Ovis aries: one gene and its partner. The protein of the gene in region 2 purifies or fractionates together with the protein of the main gene of each other region. This does not show direct contact. Links are inferred from orthologs where the notes say so. Each region holds a gene or a part of one and is shown on either strand. Other genes may lie near its edges. The genes, in order: SLC6A8 and OCIAD1.

Region 1 (4,466 bases), on a different chromosome or scaffold from region 2:
ACATCCCAGCATGAGAGGCAAGTCCTGTTTCCCTAGTCTCACACCTGTCAAGAGTCCCACTGCCAGCATGATGGGTGAAGGAAGGGCAAGCCTTCACCTGTTTCCCGCCCCTCCCAACTGGGAACCTGGGGCAGGGTGGGAGACAGTCACCCTCTCAGGGGCAACCTCAGCCAGTCACTTCATGAGTCTGTGCCACAGCCTACTGTCAGCTCCTTCAGCTTTTCCTGCCATCGTGTCTCACACCCAGCCACCCTCCTTCCAGCCCCAAGGGTGCTGGACAGGGCTTTCTCGCCCGGCGGGGACGGGGAGAGGTCCATCCTCTCTGCCCCCACCAGGGTCACCCAGGTAGGTGGTCTTCAAGTCCTCGCAGCTTGGGGGCCATATGCCAAGCCTGGTGCTCGGACAGGATGAGGTTTACTGTAGTGGACACCATCTTTGTCCCAGGGGTGGAGAAAGGCAGAGGTCCACAGGGCTCACACAGGGGCTGCCAGAGCTGCTCACCTTTGAACAGGGGGCAGATATTCCAGACGTTGATGCTGCCGGCCTTCATGAACTGGCCCAGTGAGATCTCCAAGAAGAAGATGGGGATTCCTCCAATCAGGGCAATCAGGACGTAGGGAATAAGGAATACACCTGGGGAACAAAGCTGGAGGTGGGCACTTGCACAGGGTTGCCCCCTGGCCAGGCAGGGGACCTGACCAGAACTGCACAAGTGCGGTAAGACAGCCCAGGGCCTTCCCAAGCCCTGGGGGGTGGGTGGAGCCCCACCTTCAGGCTCCACCCAGGCCATGATAACTTCCCACTGAGTGAATCAGTATAAGGGGTGGCCGCTGACTCAGGAGCCCAAGGTGAATAGTCTTGCGGGGGGGGGGGGGGGGGCATCGGGCAGAACCCCATTTCCTTCTGGTTTCCTAAGAGCCCCTTTTCCCTATAGGGCTTTGGCCGCTACTCACCGAGGGTGAGCTAACTAACGGGCACGGCAGAGACACGCACTTGTGGATACAAGCCACCCCTTGAGCCGCAGTTTGCTGGGCGGCAGAGGAAGGAACTGTGAGGGCATGAATGAGTGTGCATGCTCATGCCTGTTGGCTGTGGTTGGCACTCGGGCCTGGGGACCCACTGGGCTTGGGTAAGGGAAGGGAGCCTCTTGCCCGCACATCTGAAGACCCAGGAAGAAGGTGGGTGGGTAGAGTTGTCTACCAGTGAGCAGAGTGCAGGGTATCTGAAAGGGTTGCTAAGTAAGGACAGGAAGTGACCAAGTTGGGGGAGCCTGGCAGGTACAACAAGACAGGAGCGCCCAGGATGGGGGTGGAGGACCCCTCCCCTCCAGGCCCCCGACCCTTGCCCCAGCTCACCAGGCAACTACTCAAAAGGCTAAGCTTTGGCTGCCGCTTGGCTGGGCCTGCGGTCTCCGCATCCTCCTGCTATGACCTTGGGCCAAGGCCTTTGCTCTGAGCCTCAGTTTCCCGCCTGCCGCCTCGTCCCTGTGGCTTTTCCCACCACCCCCCTGGGGCTGCTTTGCAGTCACAGGACACACGCGTGCCCATCGCTGTTGCTAAGCTGGGCTGGGGCGGGCAGGCATGGGGTGTGCATACAGTGTGTCCAGCAATGGCGCCAGGCGGCCCGGGCTGCCGGCTTCCCAAGCCTGGCTCCGGCACCCAGTGTTCCAGGCCCAGGCTCGAGAGGAGGGGAGGGGAGGGGAGGGGAGGCAAGAGGAAGAGAGAGAAGGGAAGGGAGGGGAAGGCAGGGGGAGGGACAGAGTGGCCCATTGTGTGTGTGTTCGTGTGTGCACACGTGGGGGGCCGGCACAATGTGCCACTTGTGTGCCTGATCGGAGGGGGCATCCAGGGCTCCTCACCTCTGAGGCCTCCCCCGAGGCGGGAGGCCTCGCCCGGCCACCTCAGTGGCCAGTCACTTGCGGGTGGTGGTGCTGGGGTGGGGGGCGGACACAGCTCGAGGCTTCCTTCGCAGGCCCCCTCCCCCACCACGTTGCCAGGCACATGACCGGCCAGGGGGGTGGCCGCCTGGCTGGGCCACCGAGCGGCGACGGCGGGCAAGGGGCGGCCCCCCGGCCCTTCCCCTCCCTCGCCGGCCCGGGGGCCTCCCCACCCCCTGGACTTCGCCCTGCTGCCCCGGTGGGGCTAGGGAGGGGCCCGGCGCTCACCTCCGCCGTTCTTGTAGCACAGGTAGGGGAAGCGCCACACGTTGCCCAGGCCCACGGCGAAGCCCACGCACGACATGATGAAGTCCATCTGGCGCGTCCAGGTCTCGCGCGGCGGAACGGCCAAGAGGCTGCCGGGCGCCCCCAGGGCCGCGGGGCCGTCGCCCTTGGCCGAGGCTCCGTCGGGCCCGGGCGCGATTAGGGGGCCCTTCTTCTCCTCGCCGGACACGCTGTAGATGCCGTTCTCCGCGCTCTTGTTGGCCATGGCCGGGGGCACGGTGGCCCGCGGGGGCGGGCGGGCAGACAGGCGCGGGGTCGCCAACGGCGCAGGGGGGGATAAAGGCCCCGAAGGCGCGGGCCCGCCGGGGGCCGAGGACGGCCGGACCGGGGGGTCGGGGCGGCGGGCGGGAGGCGGGCGGGGTGCGGGACAGCGGGGGCGGCGCGGTCAGAAGCAGTCCACGAAGCACTTGAAAGTGAGCCTAAAGAATCTCATGTGTGTCGGGGGCCCGGGGGCTCGCGGGCGGCGGCGGGGCCCGATCGGGCGGCGGCGACGGCTCCCGAGGCTCCTGCCCGCAGCTCCCGCGGCGGCGGCGGCGGCAGTTGCTCGCCCGGCCTGAGGCTCAGCCTAGCCGGGGCGCGGGCGGCATCCGCAGCCCCCTGTCTGCAAGCGGCCGGCCGGAGCAGGAGCAGGAGTCTGCGGCCCGCACCTCCCGCGCGCTCCCCCCCTCCCCCCCGCTGCGGCCCGGCCCGGCCCGGCGCGGCTGCCCGACTCGCCTGCGGCTCCCGCGTCTGCGGCGGCCTAGGCGTTCGCCCCTCCTTCTCAGTGGCGGCGGCGGCGGCGGCGGCGGCGGCGGCAGCGGCTTTAGCCGCTCTCCCGGCCGCAGCGAGCTCAGCGACTCGCCACCGCGTTCTGATCTCGCCTCTCCTCTTTGGCCGGACTACTGGCCGCTTATGAACCGTCTCCAGGGTGACGTCACTCTAGCCCCGCCCCCCGCGGACGGGCCTCCCCCCTCCCCCTCCGGGTGCCCGCCCCCCCGCCCTGGTCACCCCGCCCACCTCCTCCCGCCCTTCTCCAGAGCCAGAGACTCCGCTCCCGCTGGAGGCCGCCCGCTACCTGGGGCGCCCGCCAGCGCCTCCTTCCCGGGGCCCAGCCGCCCCTGATCCCGGGTTCCTCCGGGCCCGGAGCACCGTCCAGCCACCTCACTTGCCCTTCCCGCTTCGAGGCCAGCCGCTGGCCTGGCTTCCTTATTGGACATCCTGGGGCGCCCCCCGCCCCAACCTCCTTCTTGCAGCCTGGCCCATCTCTGAGTCCCAGCCGAGGTTGGGTACCAAGGCCTCCAGCTTTCAGGCCCCGTGGCACCACCTCAGGGGTGCAGGCTGCTTCTACCTGCTGAAGCACTGGGCCCAGCGAGCCCCCTCAGAAAGGCTGCGGTGGCGGTGTGGGGGTCTGTCTCCAGGTGTGCTCAGGGGCTTTGCTGAGACCCTGTCTCCTGCCCTTGGGTCCTCCACACCCCCCAGGGAGACAGCCTTGGTCTGTCAGTGTCCCGGTTGTCGGAGTGACAGCGCTTGGAGTGACAGCACTCGCTGACTCTCCTGAACAGGCCGAGGGAAGCCTGACTGGCCGATGGACAAGGCCGCACTTTTTCACCCAAGTGGACGGTGGGAGGGATTCCTGCGGCCCCTCCACGTGCCCGACCTGCAGGAGACTGTGGCACTATAGGGTAAGGGTGCCCTCTGGTGCTTGGCAGGTGCACAGACCCTCCCCCAAAGGCCTCCGCTCCACGCTTTTCTCTCCCCAGGGATCAGCAGGACCCAGGTTGTTCAGCTGCTTCCCCAGCAGCCCTTGAGCCGCCTGTTTGGAATTTTCCAGGACTGAGAGCAGCCCCAGGAGGGGGCAGGGAGGGGTCACCATCATGGCTGCAGATGCGCGCTGTGCCCACCCCCAACCCCCTGCCCCCAGTCCCAGGCTCCCCTGAGCGCGCCGCCCTGCAGTCCCCAGATGGCTCATCCCGTTAAGCTAAACCCTCAGCCTTCCGGGCGGCTTTAGGAAGAAAAGCAGTTCCGGTCCGAGCCAGCTTGAGCTTGTTAGGTGAGGGAGGGGCAGCATCTCCAGCCGAGCTCGCTCCGGGAGCCTTGACTGGCCGCTGGGGGAGACGGGCAGGGTCTCAGGGGTCAGGCTGGGGGCGGGGCCTGGGGCTCAGGGAACCCCCCTTCCCAAGGTGACGAGGGTTCCCTGACTCCTCAGAAGCCCCGATCTGGAGCTCTGGCCCAGCCTCAAAGTGAAGCAGCTTGGGAGACAGGCAAC
Region 2 (3,808 bases):
TCTTGCCTGGAGAATCCCATGGGCAGGAGCCTGGCAGGCTCCAGTCCATAGGACTGCAGAGTCAGACACGACTGAAGCAATTTAGCACACAGGCAGACTAGAAACAATAAGACCATAAAATCAACGGAGATACACGTTGCTTTATATTTTATTTACCATAAACACTAAGAGAATACAGCAAACACTGGAGAAAGGCATTTTAATAATTTTGATGTAAAGTTTAACACTTAAAATTATGCTTGCTCCCCACCCCCACCCCAATTCAACATGCAGGTATCATTTATTTCCAGATGCAGTGATTGTAGAGCATTACATTCTCTTGAAAGTTTTATAACAGAGTATCCTTGTCCTGTAACTTAAAACAATTTCATAAACTATGTATAATCATGGTATAATAACATCATTCAAAGAGTTTCCCAAATGACTATATTCACACAATATTAATATTGAAGTCTTGAGTTTTTAAAACATCATCTCAATAAGCCAAACCACAAAAACCCAGGTTCTAGTTTTAAATGTGTTTATGAAGACTGCTGCTGAGCTCAAAGCATGCAGATGTTCATGACCACCTAGATGAAGCTGGATACTGAAATTCCTTCAGTAGGTCCAATGATGCAATTTTTCACTCATCCCAAGTATCTCCATATTTGTTTACTTTGACTAGGAAAAAAGCACAAATAATTGATGATTCCAAATAGTAATAAGTGAAAGGAACTGTTTTATGTTTGCTATTATTATGACTTAAATTATGTTTCTCATTTGAATAAATGTACATGAGAGTCAAATTATAATTATAAAAAGGGGCTGGCTAGCCTTTTGTGAACTGGAGGTTTGACATAAATACAGTATCAAGACATTTACATATGTATTTGATCTCTAAAACAACCTGATAAAATAAATATAACCCCCGTTCTAAGGAAAACAGATTAGTAACTTGCCCAAGGTACAAGCCTAATAAAATAGGTAGAACTGAAACGTGAACACAGGTCTATTTAGGTCCAAAGCCTGGGTACCTTTACAACTTTACCATCTAAAGCAAGCATGGTATACATTACAGGATGCACAATAGTTACCAGTAAATGAAAAATAAAACAATAATGAATATTTGAATGCCATTTTCCACAGAAATCTCAGATTAGATTAATCTCTCTTAGGAGATTAATACCAGTACAAGGAGGAAATGCTTTCCAGTATTTTTGTATTTTATGTGATATTATATTTTGAAATATGTTCTTCTATCTTTTCTACTCTTACTTTTTAGCCTGTCTTCTACACAGCCATCATCTGTGAATTATAACTCTTCGGAAGACCCAAGTATTCACAACAATGTCAAGAAGCAGTTATCAAAGTATAAGGGGATTCCCTTCCTCAAGACTTTTTCAGTGAAGTCTTTAAAGTCAAAATTATTTCATTATTATACTAAGACATTGTTCTGCTTTTCCCCCTTGCTCTTCTTCCCTTATGTGTAGAAGGCAGTTTTCACGGAGCTACATGATGTGTGGGAACATCACTGCTGACAGCTAACTGAAAATACGCTTAGATGTTTAAAATTTCTGCCATAATTTCTAACTAGCTAAAGTAACAACGAATATAATCCACATAAACAAAAGCTGAGAATTTTTAAATGACACTTTCTGACCTAGTGAATCTACATTGTACTGTTAATTTTCTGTCTAAGTTCTAGAACAGAAATCACGAACTGTTCATAACTTTTTTCTTTAAATTATATAAAGCACACACACAAAAAGCTTTCTTTTTACAAAGAAAAACAGTTCACATCACTGTATCATGAAACAAAACTTCAAAACTGTTCACAGCCAAAAGCACCAATGTCCAAATCCAGCAAATATCACTCATCTACCATGTTATCTTTTCTTGGTTTTTAGCACTAGAAGGCCCAACCAAAACACAACATTTCTGACATATCAAACAATGGCACTATGCTATGCAGACACACAGCAGAGCAGATTACAAAAATGAGAATACTACCGCCTGCCCTCATGGAGCTTACAGTCTAAATTCTCAAATTAATTAGAAGATCAGAGTACCAGTGAATCTTCACATATTACAGAGGAATAACTACTAAATACATAAGGCTTATGTTTTACGGCAAACATTAACAAGTATTGCTGATTACAAATCTATTTTAAAGCTGCAAAGAACATCAATAATATAACAGAGGTGGATCACTGTTGTAAAATAGGATTAAATGAAACAATTACTACCGATTAGAAATAAAACTAGCTCTAAAGGAATGATCATAATAAAAAATACCAAGTATTTTTAATGTATTTTTGCATTCTCTGTGGTATACTCTCAAGAAGGTACAAAGGACATTTTTGTTCCTTTAATTTTTAAAGTAGTAAATAGAAAACCTTGAAACAATGATATATCCTCTAAAATTCCTCAAGAAAGATATTACAAAATTTTATACTGAAACAGCTACAAAGCCCTATTCAAAATGCCCTCTTGTTACTGACAAATCTTTGGTGTCAGAAAATTTACTGTGGGTTATGCGCAGCTGCTCCAAAAAGTCTTAAATCATGATATTAAAAATCTCTATGTATTAATTAATTATAGAGTGAAGTACTGTTTAGGGGCTTCCCTGGCAGCTGAGTGGTAAAGAATTCACCTGCTAATGTAAGATATGGGTTCAGTCCCTGGGTCAGGAAGATCCACAGGAGGAGGAAATGGCAACCTACTCCAGTATTCTTCCTGGGAGCCTGGTGGGCTACAGGACATGGGGTCGCAACTGAGCAACTATGCACAAAGTACTGTTAAAAGTCAAACTCCCTATTTGGAAATGCCCTAAAAGCTAGTTCATAAGCATGTAACTCTTTCAATTTCATAGACATACAGGACCATCATTTTATTACTCAATCAGGATTCTGTGATTCTGCCAAAAGTGGCATTATCAATCCAATCTGGTTTTATGCAGTAGATACATCATTTTAAAAAATGTTGTCAATTCCCAAGGTGGCTTCTCATACAATCAAATGTTTGTATAATTTCTACATTAAAAATTTAGTCTTACTGTTTTAAGCCATACTATTTGGACTTCATTATTTTCTAACATAAAATGGCTTTTGGAACACTAAAAAAGGAAGAACTGATAACTATTAATAGTTACCATCTTAAAAAATGTTATTTTGGTTAATTGCTTGAGGCATTAAATCACACGTTAGTATAATTAAACTAGTGCTGCAGTTTCTAATTCTAAAGAGTAAAGTGATTCAGACTAGACTATCATACCTTCTTTTTTTGGCATTCTTTCCTGCATAGGCCTGACTGAGGGGTCAGTCTTATGTGTTAAAGTAACTTCATATGACTCTCTGTTCTTATTCCTTAATTCCTCATATGTAATATTTTTTCTTTTAGGACTTTCTTCAATGTTGGGATCAGGTCCTAAAACAACAAACAGTTAATAAATGGTGATAAAAGGATTTGAATAAATCTAAAGCAACTAAAGTTTACAAATGCTTCTTACCTACTAAAAAATTAAAGTGAAGGATCAGATTATTACCAGTATTCCAAAGGTTCTGTATTCTCCCCAAGGTAATTATAAAACCAAAATCTACTTCCTCTTACGCTTTCAAGCTTATATTTCTAAAGTTAAAAAAATATTTTTTTAAACTATCCATGGCCAGAAGAAGGATGGATATAATATATACCAGCACAATTCACTCATTAAAATGCTAGTGTTGCTCTAAACTGGGAGGTTATTCATACAGTTTATATAATTAAAGAGAAATATATTCTACTAGCGACAATTGAACAAAACTAGACATGGTGTAGATTCAGTAATAGT

What was found.
Region 1: the proteins of OCIAD1 (region 2) and SLC6A8 purify together in Homo sapiens (co-immunoprecipitation; 3 studies listed by BioGRID and IntAct, with this or other methods). This does not show direct contact. The link is inferred for Ovis aries from reciprocal best matches to the Homo sapiens genes OCIAD1 and SLC6A8.

Annotation. Positions count from the first base shown.
Region 1 is NC_056080.1:80,584,420-80,588,885, forward strand, and holds the start of SLC6A8 (sodium- and chloride-dependent creatine transporter 1), read right to left. Parts: upstream 3,088-4,466; 5' UTR 2,427-3,087; coding exon 2,165-2,426; intron 634-2,164; coding exon 502-633; intron 1-501. UniProt on the Homo sapiens protein: Creatine:sodium symporter which mediates the uptake of creatine. Plays an important role in supplying creatine to the brain via the blood-brain barrier.
Region 2 is NC_056059.1:68,188,901-68,192,708, reverse strand, and holds the end of OCIAD1 (OCIA domain-containing protein 1), read right to left. Parts: intron 3,406-3,808; coding exon 3,253-3,405; intron 661-3,252; coding exon 623-660; 3' UTR 131-622; downstream 1-130. UniProt on the Homo sapiens protein: Maintains stem cell potency. Increases STAT3 phosphorylation and controls ERK phosphorylation. May act as a scaffold, increasing STAT3 recruitment onto endosomes. Involved in integrin-mediated cancer cell adhesion and colony formation in ovarian cancer.